Linked DNA regions of Rattus norvegicus. The protein of the gene in region 1 interacts with the protein of each later gene in a pairwise test. Links are inferred from orthologs where the notes say so. Each region holds a gene or a part of one and is shown in the gene's direction. Other genes may lie near its edges.

Region 1 (10,585 bases):
GCCCTTCCTGGGATGAGTGGCAGCTCATGGAGGCTGCGGTGGTGTAGCTGTCTGCAGAACTGCAGCTCAGTGGTTCGGAGAGAGCCCTCTGTAGCTTGGCCTGTCAGTCCATTCTTGCAGCTGTGTTTGCTGCTTCCGCAGTGTTCAGTGGGGGAAGTCTGTGTTTCGCCTCAGTCTCAGGCTTCTCCCCTCTCTTCCAGGAATGTTTCCGTTCGGCCACCAACCAGGAGGGAACAGGCATCTCCCTGTTTCCCGTTGGAACTTAGGCTTTCTTAGTTGTACTTGAAAGAGGCCGTGCCTCCCTGAAGCTCTCTCTTCCAAGCTCCCCGTCGAACCTGCTTTGCCAAACGAAAGCCTGAGATCTAGGGGGGAGGGGGGGGGAGACAGACAGACTGAATATGTATATAAAACCTTTCCTGACCACACCCTCTTCTCCAGCTAGGCCCTGCTTCCTAACGGCACAGTGACCTGTGAACTCTTGTTGTAATGACATCAGAGAGAGGGCTGCCTGGTCCTGGAGGAAGCTGACATTAATTGTTAGGCTGGACAATTGTTCCCCTGCACAAGTTGGGAAACCCGAATTGCCCTCCTCTCCCCCAACCCCACCCATGCAGAGAAAACTCCGGGCTAACATATCCTCACTTCTCCTTGCCACGTTTCTGGCCACACACCCACGAGCGCCCGCCCAGGGGCTCAGTTTTTGACCATGTATGGGCACAATCCCAGCTCCAAGCTGGCACGTCTCACTCCTTGCCTAAGCTCTATAAAACTCCCATTGCTTTAACCTGGATGTGTGATGTCACTGACCTTCACCGTGAGGTCGCTGAACCCATCCCCAGAGCTGCCTCCTCATAAACCTGCCTTTGCCTACTTTTTTTTTTTAAAGATTTATTTATTTATTTATTTATTTATTTATTTATTTATTTATTTATTTGTTATGAGTACACTGTAGCTGCCTTCAGACACACCGGAAGAGGGCATCGGGTCCCATTACAGATGGTTGTGAGCCACCATGTGGTTTCTGGGATTTGAACTCACTTTGCCTGCTTTTAATCTGGTCTAATCTGGCCTGTATCCACATGACTGAGGGAGAGAAAACGTCTATTAATAACCTCATCAATGAAGTTGATAGGGAAAGAGCCTCGAGGCCATGTGTGGACCTAACCATGGTGGGGCCTTAGAGGGAAGGCAAGACTTCATTAAGAGAGAGAGAAAGGGAGGGAGAGAGGCACCCTGAGAGGAATGACGGGAGGCTGGCCAGAGGAGCCCTTCCGAGAGCAGCCTCAGAGCACCTCTCAGAGTGGGTCCCATTGAGGAATCTCAGACTCTTTTTTTTTTTTTTCCCCAACAAAGCAAAGGTCTGACATGTTATGGCTGTGGAGAGCCTATGGAAAATTTCAGATGGAAAATTTCAGATTGGGCAGAGTGATTTAGATCCGTGTAGCCCATGTGACAAGGAGGATGGGGAAGCCAGGTACCATGCGTTGTAAGCTGTCAAGACACTGCACTGACTACTGAATCATGAACTTCAGGGAGACGTAGCCTGACTCAGACCTGGGAGTCAGGCCTAATAGTCCAGGCCAGTGTCCTGTCACTCACCTGTTGGTTAATTCATTGGTCAGACAAACACCGTCACAGTCCAGTCACATCTCGGCAGCATCAAGGGCTGGCGACCAAACCTTGTGACACATAAACCTTTGGGAGATATTTATATCCAAGTCAGAGAAGCCTTTGTAGGGAAGTAGACAACAAGCTGTAGACGTGGACTTGACTTTGCGAGCCTGATGTTCTCCAAGGCTACTTCACTCCCAGTCCCCCTAACATCACCATAAACATAAGTAGGAGGCCAGTGGAGCTGCTGCCCAGCTCCTGATACTGAGGAGACGGAGGCCATCTGCACCCATATAACGAGTCAGAAGGCAATCTGAATGTCATAAGAACCTGGCTGGGAGCAGTGGGGGGACCCAGGAGGTGCTCAGGGATAGGCTTGGGGGTTTCAGAACCCATGTATAAAGACTCGGCTGTCAGTGAATGTCTGTGATCCCCAAGGCACTGAGTCAGAGAATGGAGATAGTGAATCCCTGGAAGCTCAGGGGTCAGCTAGTCTGGCCGACTTGCTGAGAGCAGAGGATTGGTGGGGGGCACTTCCTGTTGTCCTCTGAACTTCCTAGTATCTGCATGTAGGTTGGTGGGGAGAAGGGGGCCAAGGAGAAAGGGATGGAGAGAAAACGGGCTTCAATGGCAAAATCTATCCTCCCCACCCATAGCCCCTTTCTTTCTTTTCTTGCCCTCTCCCTTCCTTTCCCTACCCCGCTCTCCTCTGTTCTTTCCATCAAGGCTGCCCTTGAACTTGTGACCATTCTCCATGACAAGAATTGTAACCAATAATTCCTTTCCAGCCTATTGTAGGAGCTGCGAAATGGCTCAGGAGTTCCGGGTCATGGAGTAGGTATGGATCTAGAGTGGGAGCTGCAATGGGGTGGGGGGGTCAATTCTTGATGCAGACAGGGGAGCAGTGGTGTTATTATAGTTTCCTGTGTACCAAACAAGTCCCCAGAACTTCTGAGTCCCTTGAGTTCCCGAGGTAACTACAAAAAAGCCAGGAAGCCCCTGGTGGTGGGTCAGAGACTGCAGAGCTCTTGTGGCCTGAATCAGATCCAGCTGTTCATCCAGTAATGGTGACCTCCCTGCTGGTCTACTGGTAACAAAGCCTGTGCTTAACGTCCTCTAGATAAAAGCTAGGAAGAACTCCCCGGGAGCCTCGGTGGCCTGTTTGACACGTGGCTTATTTTCTGTAGTCCTAGGCACTCCACAACCTACTCACCCGTGTCTGGAGGCCACCGGGAACGAGTGCTCAGCCTCTCCCAAGCTCTTGCTACAGAGGCTTCCCAGTGGCACAGGCTGATGACAGGTGAGGTGCCCAGGCTCTGAACCCCCGCATCTGAGGAAGGAGGCCTGGAAGTTTGGACTTTACACGTTTAAGTTAACACTTTTCTCATTCTCCGTTTAGCCTCTCCAGAGAGAAATTTGGACACCAGGGGAGACTGTCTCCAGCCAAGTCCACAGCCTCCCAGTGAAGAGCTGCCCCAGGTCACCTCGTCCCCAACTTCTCACAAGGCTAACTCGGCTACCACAGGGTTCTCATGCCAAGGGAGTGGGAGAGGCCTGGCTCCGTGGGAGCCCAGGTGGGACCCTGGGAAGGCCCCTCCAGCTCTGGCCCAGGAAGAGGGGGCATGGCCCCTGAGAGTCACTCTGCTGCAGTCCAGCTTTTGACTCCTGCCTTTGCACTGGGTGCTAAAGGCTGGAAGCACAACCTTGAGGTGTGGGACCATTCAGGACCACAGGGGAGAGGTTCATTTCAGCCTGTGTTCTAGGAGGGCCGGGGCTATGATGGTCAAAGATTGATTATCCCAACACTGTCCGAACTTGGATTAAAACTTTGAACTAGTCAATAAATAGCTTTATTCTCTCTGTGGTTGTGACATTGTGTTCTGACAAACAAGCGTCAGGGCCTTGGATTCACAGGACATTGGGGGGCTACATCTTAAAATATGGGTCTGAGGGAGGAGGTTGGAGTCTGGATCCTGAGTCAAGGCAGAAGTGGTGCTGGTCTTACAAGTCAAAGGGAGCAGGGCTAGAGTCAGTCTGAGGGGGCAGAGCTGGGGTGGGGGTCCCTGAGCCTGGAAGAGGAGTGTCAGGATGGGGATCCCTGGGTCTGAAGGAGGATCATCACGGGTGGGGACCCTGGGTCTGAGAAAGAGGGCTAGGAAGGAGAGTCCTCAGTTCTCCTAGGTGTGCCTTCCTGGGAACTCCCCCTGCCAGGGTCAGCCTTCAGTGACCCAGCCTGTATATCTGGTTCCACTCCCCCGCTTCTCTGGACTTTAAAGGTGGGAAGAGGCCCAGAGGGTGTGGGACACGAGCGAGATAGCTGGGAATGGCTGCAGTAGGCCGATATTCTGGGAAGGTGGTGGTGGTGACTGGGGGCAGTCGGGGCATCGGGGCTGCGATCGTGAGAGCCTTCGGTGAGTAAGGGTCTTCCCGCCTGCTGCCTGAATTGTAGGAGAGAAAGAGCGGCTGGCAGAGGCTCCCACAGTGGGAGGAGGAGACTCAGGTTCATTTCTTTAATGATTTGTTTGTTTTTAATTTTCTCTGTGCGTTGTCGTTGTACCTGGGTGAGGTTGTCAGATCCCTCCTAACCGGAGTTATAAACAGTTGTGAGCTGCCATGTGGACGGTGGGAACTGAACCTGTGTCCTTTGGAAAAGCAGCCAGTGCTCTTAACCGCTGAGCCATTTCTCTGGTCCCTCCGTTTCATTCTTACATGAATCCATTTGGATTGTTGGGTCTTTGTTGATAGGTCGGTCATTAAAAGTTCTTCCACTGGCCTGGCAGTGGTGGTATATGCCTACAATCCCAGCACTTGGGAGGCAGAGGCAGGTGGATCTCTGAGTTTGAGGCCAGCCAGGAGAGTGAGTTCCAGGACAGCCAGGGCTACACAGAGCAACTCTATCTCAAAAATCCAAAAAAAAAAAAAAAAAAAAAAAAAAGTTCTTCCCCAGATGGGTCCCTAGCTGCAAATGATAGCTTTGTGTGTTTTATTGTTTGTAGGTTTTGGATTTTTCTAGAATCCAGGATGGGGGCCAAGCAGTGGCTTAATGAGGAAGGGTAATTTGTTGCTCTTGTGAGTGGAGACAATCTTGTGAGAGAGACAATCACGAGAGCCGCCAGAGAGGCAGGTGCTCTGGTGGCCACAAGAGGGCAGCAGAGGCAGTGACGCAAGTCTGCAGGGCAGGTAACATCGTTCTCTTTCTGTTGGCAGTGGACAGTGGGGCTCAAGTGGTTTTCTGTGACAAGGATGGTGAGTGAATCAGTGTTCATCTCTCCCTTGCCTCATCAATGATCTCTGCATAGCTCTCCTCCCTCAGACCCACATTCCTAAGCCTCCTCCCTCGGACCCAGAATCTTTCTCTTGCAGAGGCTGGGGGCCGGGCTGTGGAGCAGGAACTCTTGGGCACTGTCTTCATCCCCGGTGACGTGACTCAGGAAGGAGATTTACAGGTCAGTGTTTTCTGTCCCACACTCCATCGCCAGTCCCTCTGGGTATCCATGCCCTTGTCACCTCCGTCCTTCTGCCCTCTTCTCTCTCAGGTCTTTAGGAATGATCAGGACTTGAACTCTTGGCTCCTGTAACAAGTTTCTGACTTCCTGGCACTCAGAATCTCTTATGTGTTTCCAGGTCTAGCTCCTATCTGGGCCTCTGTCTTTCTTTGTCTCTCTGCTCCCCACTGCACTCGGGTCTGTAGACTCTCCTTCTGAGGCTCTGTCTTCTGCACACACACCCCTCCGAAGTCTTCTAAAATGGTGTGCTGGTTAGTGTTAAATCGACTGGACACAAGCTAGAGTCATTGGGAAGAGGGAATCTCACTAGAAAATGGCCCCACCAAATTGGCATGTGGGCAAGCCTGTTGGTCACTTAATTAATTAGTGGTTGATGTGGGAGTTTCCCCAGCTCCCTGGGGGTTGTGACATTGCAGGGCAGGTGGTCCTGGATAGTCTAAGAAAAGGGGCTGGACGAGGCATGGGAACAAGCCAGCGAACAGTGTTCGTCCACAGCCTCTGCTTCAGTCCCAGCCTTGAGCTTCTGCTCTGAGTCCCTGTCCTGGCTTCCCTCAGTGATAGATATGACCTGGGAGCTGTAGGCAGACATTAATCATCTCCTCTCCAGGTTGCTTTTGGTCATGGTGCTTATCACAGCAATAGGAACGCTGTGACAAGTGGCAACTGTGCTGTGTGGATCAGTCCTTTTAGTCTGGGTCCTCGACTTCCTGCATCCTCCTCTCTTTCTAGACCTATTCTGTGGCCCTGGTCCCCTTCCACCTCACCCTACCCTGTCTTCCTTAGCTGAGCCCATCCTTGCCTTGGGCCTCCTGGCTTTTCCAAGGCTGTCACCTCTCAGCTCATCACCTGCTCTTTCTTCTCTCCTCAGACTCTGATTTCTGAGACTGTCTCTCGATTTGGTCACCTGGATTGTGTGGTGAATAATGCCGGCTACCGTAAGTTGTGTGGTTTGGAGGCCAGTGTCCCTGACATCTACTTATACCCTCTTCCCCATTCCTCTCTTAAAAATTATTGCCCTATCTATCTATCTATCTATCTATCTATCTATCTATCTATTATCTATCTATTATTTATCTATCTGTCTATCTATTATCTATCTGTCTATCGATGTGCATGTGTGTAAGCGTGTGCTTGCACAAGCACTCGCACTCTCATGCACAGTAAGTACTTCTCTGGTGTTCAGTGCAACAAGAGGGAATCAGTTCTCTCCTTCGGCCATGTGGGATTGAGTTCAGGTTATCAGGCTTGGCACAAGTGTAAAGGTACAGTTGAGCCATTTCAACAGCCCAATCCTTCCTCTGAACCTCAGTTTACCCCTTCCTCAGGACACATAGCCCTCTGCCTCCCGCGTGCGCGCACATGTGTGTGTGTGTGTGTGTGTGTGTGTGTTTACACTTGCATGTATGTCTGTTCTCCCCTTGCATGACTGGTGCCCACAGAGACCAGAAGGAGTTGGATCCCCTGCAACTGGAGTTACAGGCAGTTCTGAGCCACCATGTGGGTGCTGGGAGTTGAACCTAGTTCTCTGGACCAGCAGCCATGCTCTAAACCACTGAACCATCTCTCTGCAGCCTTCCTTAACACAGAGCTCAGCCCGGCCTCAGTCTCACTTTCTTTGCTGTGTGCTTGTCACAGGAGGTTATACTGTCCTTCACGATAGTCCCAGAGCCTGGGGGAGCTCCTGCCTTGCTGATGGCTGGTGGCCCTGGGCCTTGTTGGTGACAAGGACAACCCAGACACGCTTTATCAGACACTAGGTAGTGTGGCACTCTGGGAAATTTTCATCAGCCCAACAGCTGCACCAGAGAACAATGTGTCCCCATGGCAACAAGGGCTCAGGGAACACCCACCGGGGCCCTCTTGAATATCTTCCAAAGTTGGGGTCAGAGGACTGTCCCCGGCCAGCTGGGCTCCCAGTCTTAGCTGCTTTACTTCACATCACAGTAAGGACTCAGGGTTGCTGGTCGCTCATCCTTACCTGGGTCCTTCTTTCCTTAGGCTGATGTTGACAACACCTACCAAATTCCCTTGTGGGGAGTGGTATCTAAGCAGGGAAATTCGCATTCCACAGTGAGGAGAACAGAGACCAGCTGAGGTCTGGCTGCAGAGCACTTACCCACAATCCCCCATGAGCCCTAGAATGACAGGCACTGGCTAGCTTACCCCGTTCTGCAGTCAGCATTCAGCTGCACTCAGCACTGTGTGGCCGCCATCCTTAGCTTTCTCCCTCACCCTTGGCCTCCTCTCCGACCCCATCGTCCCTGCCCTCCCTCCCTTCCTCCCTCCCACCTTCCTGCCCCGGCCTCATCCTCTTCTTCTCTTTAGACCCACCTGCACAGTTGCCAGAGGAGACCTCTGCCCAGGGCTTCCGCCAGCTGCTGGAGGAGAACCTCCTGGGGGCATACACCTTGATCAAGGTGAGACAGGCAGAGCTGCAGTTGCTGTGTGCCCTTCAGTTCATCCGGAGCACATCGCTTTGTGCCCCTTGGCTTCCTGTCCTTATTACAGTATAGCGGTTCTCAATCCGAGGTTCAATTTCCCTTTGGGAATTGAAGATCCCTTCACAGGGCTTGCCTAAGACAACCGGAAAGCATGGTTATCTACGCTGAGATCCATACCTGCAGTTGTGAAGTAGCGACAGAGATAAGTTTATGGTTGGGGGTGGGGGTCACCACCACGACAGGAGGGTGGCAGCATCAGGAAGGTGGAGAATCAGGATCTAGAAGGACACTGCCAGTCTTCATCCACCTGGGAAGTTACACCCTCCTCGCAATCTTCCAGAGCTTTCCAGCCTGCTTGGAGGTAGCAAAGAGGATGCTAAGAGAATCCAAAGTGAACTAGGCTGTGGTGGCACAGGCCTTTAACCCCAGCACTCAGGAGGCAGGCAGATCTCTGAGTCCCAGGCTAGCTTGGTCTACAGAGAGAGTTTCGGGACAACCAGGGTCACGCAGAGAAACCCTGCCTTAAAAAAAAAAAAAAAAGAAAAAGGAAGAAAGAACCGGAAGTCGTGGCTAGGGCTCAGCAGGATGCAGCTGGAGTTCCAGCACTAAGTAAGCATGATGGTGCAACCTGTGATCCCGGCACTCAGGAAGTGGAGGGAGATCAGGAGCTCAAGGTCAACCTTGGCTACACAGAGAGAAAGGAAAGGAAGCCGGTGTGACGGTCATGGCTTATGAGACAGACAGAATAGTTGCTGCTGCCAATAGGTGTGCATGTGTGGATTGGGTGGAGATGGTATTACAGTGTCTAAAGGAACAATAGAGAGCTGAGGAAGATGGTTGAGCAAGAAAGTGATGGGAGCTTCCTAATCATATTCTAGAATGTTCCATGCTGCACTCACTGACCAGCCTCTCCCTAGAAGTTCAGCCCCATGAAAATAGACATCTTTCCCTCTGACTTGTTTCTGTCAGCAATAGGAACCATGGAGTTTGGATGGGGGGGGCTCACTCCTTAAATCCCAGCACTTGGGCTTGTCTAGGAATGCGATTGCTGACCACTCTGGCTGTGTCCCTAGCATGTACAAGGTCCTTAGAAAAGGATGCTGAGGCAGTGAAGGAGGGGGTTCTCCTCAGCAGATTGGTACAGTGAATGCCCTGGGGGTGAGGGTGGGGACACAGAGATCTTTCATGTGCCTGTTTTCTACCTCAGGAAGACAGTGAAGTAGATGCTCATAAGTGGGAATCAAGAGAGAATCTGCTGGTTGGAATGGCCCGAGTGTCCCCTACCTGAAGGGCTGGAAGCTCATTCAGTTGGTCGAAGTGCTGGCTGTGTGAGCTTGAGTTTGGAACCCCAGCGTCTGTGCTTGTAATCTCAGCCAGCGCTGGAAAAGCAGGGACTGGTGGGTTCCAGTAGCTGACTCGACAGTCAGCCTACGAGAGTCGATGGGCTTCAGAGAGTCAGTGAGAGACCTTATCTTTAAGAAGCAGACAGGCTGGACTGATGGCCCACCTGTTGAGAGCATTGGCTGCTCTTTTTTTTTTTTTTTTTGTTCTTTTTTTTCCGGAGCTGTGGACCGAACCCAGGGCCTTGCGCTTCCTAGGTAAGCGCTCTACCACTGAGCTAAATCCCCAGCCCCAGCATTGGCTGCTCTTTAGGAGGAACCGGGTTCAAGTCCCAGAATCCTAGTTTCTGGGGAATCTGATGCCCTCTTCTACCCTGCACAGGCACTGCACACATGTGGTTCACAGACAGACATGCAAGGAAAACACTGGTGCACATAAACTAACATAAAGATATGAAGGCAAGTAAGCAAGAACAGAACAAAACAGAGTGAGAAGTAGATAAACGACCAAGTAATAAATAAGACAGGACAGACAGCTGGGGTAGGTGGTAAAAGCTGGGGCCCTCTGGAGCTGCCTAGAGGCACACAGGGAGACTGTCAGCCAGGGACATATCCCAGAAAGGGGCGGGGGAGAGGGGCAAATATTTATTGAGTGAGAGCTCTGCACCTGGTACAGGGAAGAGAATAGCCAAGGAAGATATCAGAGCCTATGAGGGACTGCCATTATGGAAGGTGGCAAGGACATGAGGCCAGGTGGCATTAGGTAGAGGGTGGGAACGGGGCTCCAGGGTGTAAGGAAGGCTGTGTGTGAAGCGGGAAAGGGTGAGCCCATCCCCTGAGGAGAGCAGAGGGCCTCCCTCCCTTACAGGGCTGGGTTCAGAGACTTCACAGCCCTCTGAACCTCTCATGGGTTTATGGCTTTTGACCTCCTGAGATCCAGTCACACTTATTGTCACCAGCCCCCTTAAGAGGCGAAGAGGGGCCCCGATGGGCAGGGCGCCCTTGTACCTGGGATGTTCTCACTATTGCAATATCAGTTACAGAACTGGAGGGCACGTGACAACCCATGACAGTCCCCAGGGATCTCTTACTCCAAGGCAAACTGAGGGCACTGTGTGACCGGTGTGGCTTTCTCAGGATGGGGTGGTCCAGGCAAGAGGCTCTGAGGTCGCGGACCACATGGAGAAAAGGGAGAAGGCTGCATTTGGGGTGGAAGGCTTCGGGGTGGCTACAGTAGGGATCCTCTCAGGTTCCTGCTCTAGGAGCCTCCTCAGGAGCGAGTTTGTGCTCAGTCACGTGTCGTGGGAAGACTAGGCTGTGCCTCCTTAGCTCTAGAGCCCACAGCCATGGAGAACAGACTGAGCTGATGAAGGTCACGCCGGGAATGAACACACCTGTGGAGGAGGGGCCCTGGAGAGCTGCAGAAGGTGGTGAAAGTGGGACACATCCCGAGGCTTCCCACATCACGTCATGACCACAGAGTTCTTCGTACAATACAGACATACCATCTCCCTCTGCTGAATAAAACCCTTCCTCCTAGTTGGGCGAGAGAGGCAGGGTTCTGTGTGATGCTTAGGTTTCCCTAGCTTGACAGGCTTGGAAACGGAATAACAGATGAAGGGAGAGAAAAGACACAGGCAGACAGACAGATGCATGTGTAATTGCATGAGAGAGAGAGAGAGAGAGA
Region 2 (10,538 bases), on another chromosome or scaffold:
ACTGAGCTAAATCCCCAACCCCTATCTTTTCTTGACATAAGCCACCACTTTTCCTTCTGACTCTGTTCAACTCATCCTCCCAATACCTTCCCCCACAAATACTGGAGATTGAACCCAGGGACTGACACATGCTAGGCAGGGGCTCTACCTCTGAGTCTACCCCAAGTACTCACAGGGGACTCTAGAAGGGAGTTTCCTGCTAAGACACATCCCTCTTCCTTGGCTGATCCTCTTTATGATCTTCCAGGTCCGTTACATGAAGATCATCGAGAAAAGCGGGTACCAGGCCCTGCCCTGGGTCCGCTACATCACCCAGAGTGGTGGTAAGGTGTTGGGGCTCTCTGGGACAGTGGGGGTGAGGAGGTAGGGGGTGTAGGGACTTTCATGCCGTGTTGGGGCAGTTCTAAATTGTAGCATGGCTAGCACCAAACCTGTCCTCACCATGCTTCCACATATTTAAAATGGAGTGGTCGGCCCGCTGCAGCAAAATGTTATACTTAGCACGTTCAGATGCTGCCTGGGTGCGGGCATGCTTACCAGGTGGAGGAGTCCGTGTGGCACCCATCCTGATCTAAGCAAAACTTTCTTTTGTGTATGTGAGAGTAAGGCTAGAAACCAGGGCTTTACGCACGGTTAAGTAGGAGCTCTAACATCCAGCCACATCTGGAATTCTAGGCAGTAGTTCTACTTTTGAGCCACGTCCCAAGCCTACAAGCCCTAGTAAGCATTGTGAAGTATTTCCAGGGGTGATTCTGTGTCGGGACCCAGGATAGATTTTTGTGGGTGTTGGAACTCTCTCCTCCTTTTCCCTCTCAGCTCTCAGATGGTCCCTGCTCTTTTTTTTCCCTGCAGATTATCAACTTCGGACCAGCTAGAAGGGAGAAGTGAGGCTTCCATCACCCCAGATACCAGCCGCAGACTTTAAAGAGCTGTGTGTGTGTGTGTGTGTGTGTGTGTGTGTGTGTGTCTGCACATTCAGGGTTAGGCACTGACTTAACACATCCTGGCTGCCTGCACCTAACCCCCTTCACCTCTCAACTGTCTGGGGTGGTTTCTCTGTGTCCCTCGCCCCTGGAGCTGTCCCACACTGATTTTATATGAAGAAATATAAGAGGGCCTGGACCGCGCTACCCCTCCCCCACGAGTGCCTTCTTGCAGTGAACTGCCGGGCAGATCTAGGGCCCACCTTTTATAGCTGCTGAGCCGAGGCCGCTGGCCCTCCACCTGGGTTTTAGGGTGTCATTAAAATGAGTCTAACAACTGTGACTGTGCTTCTTCACTAGGGACTGGGAATGACTGGAAGGGCTCGTGTGGGAGCATCCATTGGTTGCTTGTCAATCTTTTCTGTTCAGGTTCCTCCACAGCCCTCCCTTGTTCCCTGTCACTGTCTGATCCTCTTTGCAGCCGTGGCAGTTGCTATAAAATCTATCAGTCCATCATTGCCCTGCTTAATCCTGGTGGCCATAAAAATTTATGCAGTTCCAGGTCTGTCTACTCCACTGCACTACCCCTGCCTACCTTCCTGCCCTCCCAGGCTCCCGTTCTGTACTGCACTCAATACTTTCGAGCCTCAGGCCCTTTGTACATGCAGCAACTGCCTATTTTATAGTGTCTTTCTTTCGTTCTGATTTTTATTTCTTAAGATAGGGCTTGGCTGTCCTTTAACTTTCAGCCTTCCTCTGGCCTCTGCCTTCCACACGTAGGTGGGTGGCAGGCATGAGGCCCATGACCAGCTGTGTTCTCCAGTTTTGCTTTTAGTTGTGAGACAAGGTCTCTTGTAACCCAGGCTGGTTTCAGGCTTCACCAGTAGCAATGAAGCCTCTGCTTCTAAGAGCTGGGATTACTGACATGCACAACATCTCCAACTTTGTCTGGCTTCAGGAAAATATTTTAAATATTTTCCTCTGTGTGTGTGTGTGTGTGTGTGTGTGTGTGTGTGTGTGTGTGTATACCTATATGTGGGTGTGCAGAGGTCTGTGTTGGCGTCCGCAGAGGCCAGAGGCTTCAGATTCTCCTGGAACTGCAGTCACAGGCAGCTGTATGCTGCCTGGTGTGGGTGCTAGGATCCAAGCTTGAGTCCTATGGAAGAGCAATATGTCTTTTAATGAATAAGGCTTGTCTTCTGTCATGTTTTAGTTTTACTTTTTTTTCTCTCTTTTTTTTTTTTTTTTCTTTTCGGAGCTGGGGACCGAACCCAGGGCCTTGCGCTTGTTAGGCAAGCGCTCTACCACTGAGCTAAATCCCCAACCCCTTTTTACTTTTTTTTTTTTTTTTTTTTTTTTTTGGTTCTTTTTTTTCCGGAGCTGGGGACCGAACCCAGGGCCTTGTGCTTCCTAGGTAAGCGCTCTACCACTGAGCTAAATCCCCAGCCCCCTTTTTTTTTTTTTTTTTTTTAAAGACACAGATCCTTACTGTGTAGTCCTGATTGTCCTGGAACTTACAATGTAGACCAGACTGGCCTTGAACTCCACCTGCCTCTGCCTCTGAATGCTGGGATTAAAGATGTCTACCACCACACTTGGGATTATATTTGAGAGTTTTGAAAACTGGCCATTTAGCCCAGGCTGGCCTACAACTTCATTCTCCTGCCTCAGACTCCTGAGTGTCAAGATTACAGGGTTTAATGGCCCTCTTTGTCACCTCCACATCATTAACTACTCTGAAAAAAATTCACTGACATCTTCTGGTCTGACTGTGGGTGTCTGATGGGTTCAGTGTATAGCCATCTCGGGAGCTGCATGTGTGGGCTGAAAGAACAAGGCCATTTCAGGACCTTCTCAGTGAAACTCACCTCCCAGAACCACATGACACACCTGGTCAGGCCAACTCTGTTCAACAAGAACTGCTTAACCTGAGAAAGACCATGATTCTTTTCTCAGCGACTAAAATTACTAGGTTTAGTCTATTTTTGGAGGAAGGGATCATTTTTGTTTTCTAGTCAGAAAGTCTCTGTGTAGCCCTGACCATGCTGGAACTCACTCTGTAGATCAGGCTTGCATTCAACTCAAAGATTTGTCTGCCTCTGCCTCCTTACTTCTGGGGTTAAAGCATGCACCAACCCCCTCCTCCCCACTCCAGGGAGCTTTAGCTTATTTATTTATTTATTTATTTATTTATTTATTTTTTGGTTCTTTTTTTCGGAGCTGGGGACCGAACCCAGGGCCTTGCGCTTCCTAGACAAGCGCTCTACCACTGAGCTAAATCCCCAACCCCTTTAGTCTATTTTTGTGTGTGGTATTTACTGTCCAAGAAAGGTGGACCTGATGGCACAGACCTGTAATCCCAGCACTCAAGAGATAAAGGCAGCATGATCGGGAGTTTGAGATTAGTCTGGATTTAGTGAATTCGATACCAGCCTAGGCCATAAAAGACCTTGTCTCAATAAAAAAAAGTTATAGATCAGTTAGGAGAGTGATTTCATCAAGTCCATGATGCCCTGGGTTCCATGTCCAGCGCTACGTGGACTGTGGCTATAGTAGCACTTGGAAGTGGCATTCAAGAGGCTCAGGTGTCATGCTTGGCTACATGCAGATTTGGAGGCCAGCCTGGGCTACATGAAACCCTTTAAAAAAAAAAAAAGACTTTAAAAGAAAATTACCAGGCTGGAAAGATGATGTGGTTCAACAGTTAAGAGCACTGGCTGCTTGCTCTTCCAAAGGACCTGGGTTTAATTCCCAGCACTAACATGGCAGCTCACAACTATCTGAGGTACTGGTTTTAGATATGACACCCTGACACAAACATGCATGCAGGCAAAATACCAATGCACATACAAGATAAAAAGGAAAAAAGAAAACTGCCAGATTTAATGGTACACACCTTTGATCCCATGGCTTTGGGAGGCAAAGGCAGGCAGATGAACAGCCTGGCCAACATAGTGAGTTCCAGGACAGTCAGAGCTACATAGTAAGACCCTATCTTGAAAAAACTTAGAGGGCTCGAGAAATGGCTCAGAGGTTAATAGCAGTGACTACTCTTCCAGAGATCCTGCGTTCAATTCCCTACAACCACATGGTGGCTCACAACCATCTGTAATGGGATCTGATGCCCCTTTCTGGTGTGTCTGAAGACACAGATAGTGTCTTTTATATATATATGAGTATATATAATAAATAAATCTTTAAAAAACGTAGAGAAAAAATTTAAAAGAGAATTATTAGAATATGTGGGTGTTTGTCTATATATGCACCATGTTGGTATAGGTCAGAAGAGGTTGTTGGATCCCTAGAGCTGGAGTTAATGATGGCTAAGCTGTCACGTGGTATGGGTGCTGAAACTGAATCCTTGATCCTCTACAAGAGAAGCCACTGATCCGTCTTTCAGTCTGTAAGATTCTTTCTCAAAAAATTAAAATAAAATAATAGAAGAGACCAGCTTGGTAGCCCATTCCTTTAATTCCATCACGAATAGCAGACACAGGTGAATAGTCCAGACAGAGCTACACGGTGAGCTCCAATCAAGGCTACACAGACAGAACCTGTCACAGAAACATAAAATAAACAAACAAAAATGTTAGAAGGCGCGCACTTTACCGCCCAGAAGCCATTCCTTCAACACAGCAGTCGAATGAATGAACTAAGCTCCCGGTCGCACAGTAAGTGCTTTTTAGGACTTCCGTGGTACATGAATGAATAGAATGTTCCAGTAGTAGGAGTTTCCAGTCTTGCCTCCCTCCCTCCCTCCCTCCCGGAGGCGCTAAAGATCCAGGATCCGCCTGCGCCAGCCTGTCTCCAAACTCTCTGCTGGAGTCAGTTAAACCTCCCTCTCTTTCCCGCCTGCCCGCCTGTTGGTTTTGAAAAACCAAAAACCCAGCTGTGGCGGGCAGCTCCACCGGTTGCCGCTCGCTGACCAATCAGGAGCCGCACCACCCCTACGGGTGAGGCAAACCTCCCCGGCAACGCATGCTGATTGGCTGATATTCCCAGTAGGCGGAACTTCTGGAGGTCGGGCGCTGGGCAAAGCGGCTCGCGCTACTCTGTTGCGAGTTTGTAAGAAAACAAGGGCGCTCTGGGCGGGGCCTGGGGCGGGCTTGCCTCGCCCACTAGCGGCTGACTCTAGCAGGCTGTGTGTAGCGCCGGCTCAGAGCCGACCCCGCCCGCGCAAGGAGAGGGAGGGTGAGTCTGGGGAGACCCGGCCCAAGGGGCGGGCGCCGAAGGGCTGGGCGGGGTTCCCTGAAGCCTCTCTGGGTGACAGGGGGAGGAGTTGCCTGCCAGAGCGAGGGTCGTACAGGCAGAAGGCGCCGGGTCTGCGGCCGGGGAATAACCATAGAGTTGGCCTTGGTGGCACCGCAACCCCTGAGAACCGAAATCTGATCCAGCCCTTGCTGGTCCCCAGCCCTGACCTGAACTGGGCTTGGGGCTGGGTGGGTTTCACAGACCACCGGTAGCCACTATGCTTCTGGAAGAAGTCAGCGTCGGCGACCGGTTGAGTGGCGCAGCGGCCCGTGGCGACGTGCAAGAGGTGCGCCGCCTTCTGCACCGGGAGCTGGTGCATCCTGACGCCCTGAACCGCTTTGGCAAGACGGCCTTGCAGGTGAGGCCTGGCTGGCACCCGGCTTCCACACCCCATCCCTCCAAGTCTCCTGGCCCGGGTTGGTGATCCCCTAAGGTCTAATCCTTGCTTGAACCAATGTTGGGTGGGTGGTGAGGGCGGGATGGGGGAGGGGATGGCGTTTCAGCTCTAAAGAATTCCTTGTCTAATAGCCTGGAAGATTCCGTTTCTCTGCAGACCTTTATTCCGTGGGTGAGTTGGGGTTCAGCTTCTTTTCGTGCGCGTCCTTGAGGACAGCTCATATTTCTCGAGGTTTCTAAGACATTCGATCTCTGGAAGGTGGCATGCATGTCTTCTTCAGGGGAGATAGCCATTTTTTGGGTTTTTTTTTTTTTTTTTTTTGGAGTTGTCCTCTTGAAGTGTCTTTGGTTATTTCGGGGAGACTTCATTTCAGCAGATGATATGGTTTTGTTTTTTTCCTTTTTGTATTTTCTGCGTGCCTCGTGACAAAAAATGATTCCTTATTGCTTGAAGGCGCCATAATTCTGATGACATTTATAGGGGAGTCCTACCTTTTCATGGGTACTCACACATTCTGAAGATCATGCCTATGACTTAGGAAGTCATTCCACGACAACGGGGATTCAAATTGGCTAGAGCATCTAGCTTCTCAAAAATTCTATGTAGTTCCCAGAATATGGGGTTGTAGTGTGGAAGGGGCTTATAGTCTTAATGATCGCCCATATGGGAGTGCTGGGTCCCTGAAAGAGGCTTTGGACCTTTCCCGGTTCCCTCTCCCGTTCGTTCATTCTCTTTGCTTCTTCATTTTTCTTTCCTTTCTTTTCCTTTTTTTTTTTTTCCTGAGACAAAGTCTCACTCTGCATTTCAGACTGGCTTTGAACTTGTATCCTCCTGCCTGGTCCTCCAAGGTTCTGGGATTATGATAATGTGTCACTACACCTGGCCCTTTAAAGATTTCATGAGAGTCACTTTTTTTTTTCCGGGGCTGGGGACCAAACCCAGGACCTTGCGCTTCCTAGGCAAGCGCTCTACCACTGAGCCATATCCCCAACCCCGCCATGAGAGTCACTTTTATAGTTAGCGATTTTTGTGTTCTTAAGAGAACTTTGAGCTGCACAGAGGTGGCACAGGCCTTCTTTAATCCCAGCATTCAGGAGGCAGATGCAGGTGGATCTCTGTGAGTTTGAGGCCAACCTGGTCTAGAGAGAGAGTTTCCAGGACAGCCAGAAGGAAACCCTGTTTCTGGTGGGAGTGGGGGTGGGGCTTTGGAGGTGGATGGGGGTCCTTATTTTCTTTTTTTTTTTTTTTTTGGTTCTTTTTTTCGGAGCTGGGGACCGAACCCAGGGCCTTGTGCTTCCTAGGTAAGCGCTCTACCACTGAGCTAAATCCCCAGCCCCGGGGGTCCTTATTTTCAAAGAACCTGTTCTCTGGGGTCCCAGTCTGATCCCTTGGGGCCTGACTTTCCTGGAGTGTCCCTGTTCACTAAAGGATCCCTTCTCTGGCACTCTGGATTTCTGGTAGACCTCTTTATTCTACCTGACCCTTCTCCAGTGGGAACCTCCTGACTTTCTGTCCCTCATTCCCCATAGGTCATGATGTTTGGAAGTCCAGCAGTTGCTCTGGAACTCCTGAAGCAAGGCGCCAGCCCCAACGTCCAAGATGCCTCTGGTACCAGTCCAGTGCATGATGCCGCGCGCACTGGGTTCCTGGACACCCTGAAGGTTCTGGTGGAGCATGGTGCTGACGTCAACACCCTGGACAGCACCGGGTCTCTCCCCATCCACCTGGCCATCCGAGAGGGCCATAGCTCTGTGGTCAGCTTCCTAGCTCCTGAATCTGATCTCCATCACAAGGACGCCTCAGGCCTCACTCCCCTGGAGTTGGCTCGGCAGAGAGGGGCTCAGAACCTCATGGACATTCTGCAGTCGCACATGATGATCCCAATGTGACCCGGGCCACAGTCTCCCACCTTGCTGGGTTACTTGTCAACAAAGGAGGAAAGAAACTTTCTCTTTTCACTCCTGTCCATTGAAGAAGGGAGTGGGAGGAGCAGTTTGTGGTTTGTTGGTGTTGATTTCTTGAGTGTGTGTGTTTGGGGGTTGTTTCTCATTTGTTTTTCTCACCCCTTTTTGGTGTGTTGGACAAAGAAGGGGCTCCTACAGGCACCAGCCACCTAAACGGTTCAGTTTCCTCTGCACTGGGGCTGCACAGAAGACCTCAGGGCAGGGGCTTAAAGCTCTAGCCTCAAGTGAGGTCATCACCTCCTGGGCTCCTGGGAGCTGGTGACCTTGGTGCTCAGAGAGCCCTGAAGTGTGAGCCATCTACTTTGGTCATGGGAGGGGGAGGGGAAACATTTAAAATCAGTTAAAAGGATAACATGAGTTTTTTGTTTTTTTTTTTTCATGGAAGGTTTCCAGTTTTGTTGTACAGTTTGAAATATATATATTTATTGCTTTATGGAAAGAAATTGTTTTGTGTGATCATTTTATGTTTTGGCTCATTAAACTAAGACGGCGAGGATGACTTCAGATTTAGGAGTCTGGGATGGGGTATTCGGAGGGTAGGATGAGACTAGGGATGGTGTGGGGTGATGGGGCAACACGGTCATTCCCAGGGCGTCAGGGTAACTGAGTTGGGTGGGGCAGCGGTCGGGTGCTGTCGGAACGGAAGAGAGACAGGAAACCGCGAGTGGAGAAAGGGGCCCCCAGATGTCAGCTGGGTGCCGGGAGCCGTCAGGGTGGAGAAGGGTGGGCGGTGGCTTGTGGCCTTTCCCCGCAGAGGCTTGTCCGCGTGGGTGTGGCTTGCTGAGCAAAAGGCCAACGGGATCCCGGAAGAGTAGAGGGTGGAGCAAAGTGCGTCTGTAATGGACGTGCTCCTTAAAAGCCCTCAGGGGGCGTATCTAGGGGAGTCACACCCTGCAGGGGGCGGTTGCACGCGTGCGCACTAGGTCTCACAGCCGCCATGCCGGAACCGCGCGCTCCTGCGACTCTAAAGGTGAACGCAGCTTTTGCTGCACGCTACAGCCGTTACCGCGAGCGTGAGGAACTACAGCGGCGTGAGTGAGGGGCGCCTGCGCAGGCCGGGGTGTGGGAACTGGGGGGATGCGTCTGATGACGGCTATGGGGAACTGCATGTGTATTCCACAGTGAAAGATCGCTACGGAGATCGGGACGACGGCAGCGACTCCAGTTCCGAGTCTGACTCCAGCGATGAGCATGTGGTGAGCTTCCGCAGCCAAACTTCGCGTCCTATCTAGATGTGCAAGGGGCTTCCCTAACAGGGCTGGGCTGTCCCGATCCTGCAGGACCCGCCCCCAATGCTTTGAGTGACAGGCAGTACCCTCCTCAACTCAGGGATCTGGAAGAGATTCCAAGCCTCCCAACCACTGAGCTCTCACCTTGATGCACAGGGGTGCCTTACTCTATGGAGATGATCTGGATTTACCTCCTGACCCCTTAAGTGTCAGATAGCCCCTTCCAAACGGTCACTAAATTTACTTACTTTCTTTTCTTGGCCTCCAGTCTTCAACAGCACCCCAATTTAGATACAGTGGGAGTCTGACCCTAACCCTATGTCCTGCATCCAAATCCCTTGAGTGATAAACACCATTTTTCTTGTATCTAGGGATTACTAAATCCTCCCTATTTCCCCAGAAGGACAGAACGTCTTATCTTAGTCACCTATAAAAACATCCATGTCCCCACCTTGATCCATTGGGTAACAATGTCTAGGAGACACCAAGTTCTCACTCCTATCCAGATGTGGCTCCAGACTTCCATCCATTCGTAGAAGAAATCCCCACTAACCCAGTAGAGCCCTAAGGAAATTGTAAGACACTCCCCTATCCCTTGAGTGACAGGTGGTGCCCTCATCACTAGGGATTGTCATGTCCTCTCTGTCTTCACTTCATCCTCCACACTGGATACCTCACCATCCTGATTAGTGGTCACCTAGGAATCATCTCTCCATCCTTAAACCCCAGGAGTTTGACGAGGAAGTACCTACTACCCACACGGGGCTCCACTGTTTTCCTGGCCACACCTGCCCAGACACAGTGCTCCGTATGCCTCTCCTCCTCTGGTGTCCTGTTCTTCTTTCCTTCCCTCCACTCAGTCCTCAGGGTTGCTGGTCTCTGCTGCATCCTGTCCTCACTACCCTACTCACACGGTGTCCAACTTCCTTCTGAAGTTGACCCTACCTCTTTTTCCTGCTCTAGGAATTTGATCCCCAGCAGGAGAGAGACTTTTATAGAACTCTGTCCTTGTTGAAGAAGAAAGACCCTCGAATTTACCAGAAAGATGCTACCTTCTATCAGAGAACAGGTGGGGTGGGCATCTCCCTAAGTGCCTTAGTGTGGATGGAATTGAGTTGTTGAATGAATTGTTGAATTGTTTCCCTTCCCAGAGTGGCAGTGTATAACCCACAATCTTAGCACTCAGGAGGCTGATAGCTCAGGGCTCAGGGCCAGCCTGAGCTATACAATGAGATCCTGTGTCAAAAACCAAAAAGTGAGGCTGGGAATAGGGGTGAGTTGGTAAAGTGGTGGCCACGCAAAGCCGGAAGGCCTGAGCTTCGTTCTGAGAAATCACATGATGGAGTCAGGCATGGACGCACATTGTCAATGCCGGTGCTGGGGAAGACAGGCAGCTCCCTGGAGGCTCTCTGGGGTGGTGAGGCACACCTTTAATCCCAACACTCCAGAGGCAGAGGCAGGTGGGTCTCTGAGCTTGAGGCTAGCCTGGTCCACAGAGTGAGTTCCAGGCCAGAAAAGACCAGAGAGAGGGAGTCGGGTGTGGGGAGAATGAATGGATGCCGTTTGAGGGGTTGTGTGTACAAGCTGACCTCTGTCATCAACGTACACTAAAAGAAAAGCTTTCCCTATGAATCCATGAGTCTGAAGTGCTAGGTCAGAAATGCTTTTATATTCTTTGTGGTAGCTTCTCATGTAACCCAGCCTGGCCTCTAATTCACTGTGTAGTCAAGGATGTGACTAAACTTGTGGTCCCCCTGCTGGGATTTCGTTCAGT

The links. The genes of interacting proteins can lie anywhere in the genome.
Region 2: the proteins of Hsd17b14 (region 1) and Cdkn2d interact in binary tests that used the Homo sapiens proteins (3 or more experiments, as listed by UniProt). The two-hybrid records come from large-scale screens. The link is inferred for Rattus norvegicus from reciprocal best matches to the Homo sapiens genes HSD17B14 and CDKN2D.

Annotation. Positions count from the first base shown.
Region 1 is NC_086019.1:105,161,827-105,172,411, forward strand, and holds the start of Hsd17b14 (17-beta-hydroxysteroid dehydrogenase 14), read left to right. Parts: upstream 1-3,868; 5' UTR 3,869-3,934; coding exon 3,935-4,022; exon of another isoform or gene 4,023-4,818; coding exon 4,819-4,857; intron 4,858-4,974; coding exon 4,975-5,057; intron 5,058-5,985; coding exon 5,986-6,052; intron 6,053-7,442; coding exon 7,443-7,534; exon of another isoform or gene 7,535-10,585. Other genes in the region: Plekha4 (pleckstrin homology domain-containing family A member 4), read left to right, coding at 2,400-2,449, 2,799-2,911, 3,011-3,273. UniProt on the Homo sapiens protein: Catalyzes the NAD(+)-dependent oxidation of L-fucose, yielding L-fucono-1,5-lactone, which rapidly converts spontaneously to L-fucone-1,4-lactone. Can also act on D-arabinose and L-galactose, with lower catalytic efficiency. Does not use NADPH.
Region 2 is NC_086026.1:28,105,476-28,116,013, reverse strand, and holds Cdkn2d (cyclin-dependent kinase 4 inhibitor D), read left to right. Parts: upstream 1-5,204; 5' UTR 5,205-5,391; coding exon 5,392-5,532; intron 5,533-5,674; exon of another isoform or gene 5,675-6,872; intron 6,873-7,100; coding exon 7,101-7,460; 3' UTR 7,461-7,970; downstream 7,971-10,538. Other genes in the region: Ap1m2 (AP-1 complex subunit mu-2), read left to right, coding at 248-323, 853-875; protein KRI1 homolog, read left to right, coding at 8,473-8,566, 8,658-8,731, 9,728-9,833. UniProt on the Homo sapiens protein: Interacts strongly with CDK4 and CDK6 and inhibits them.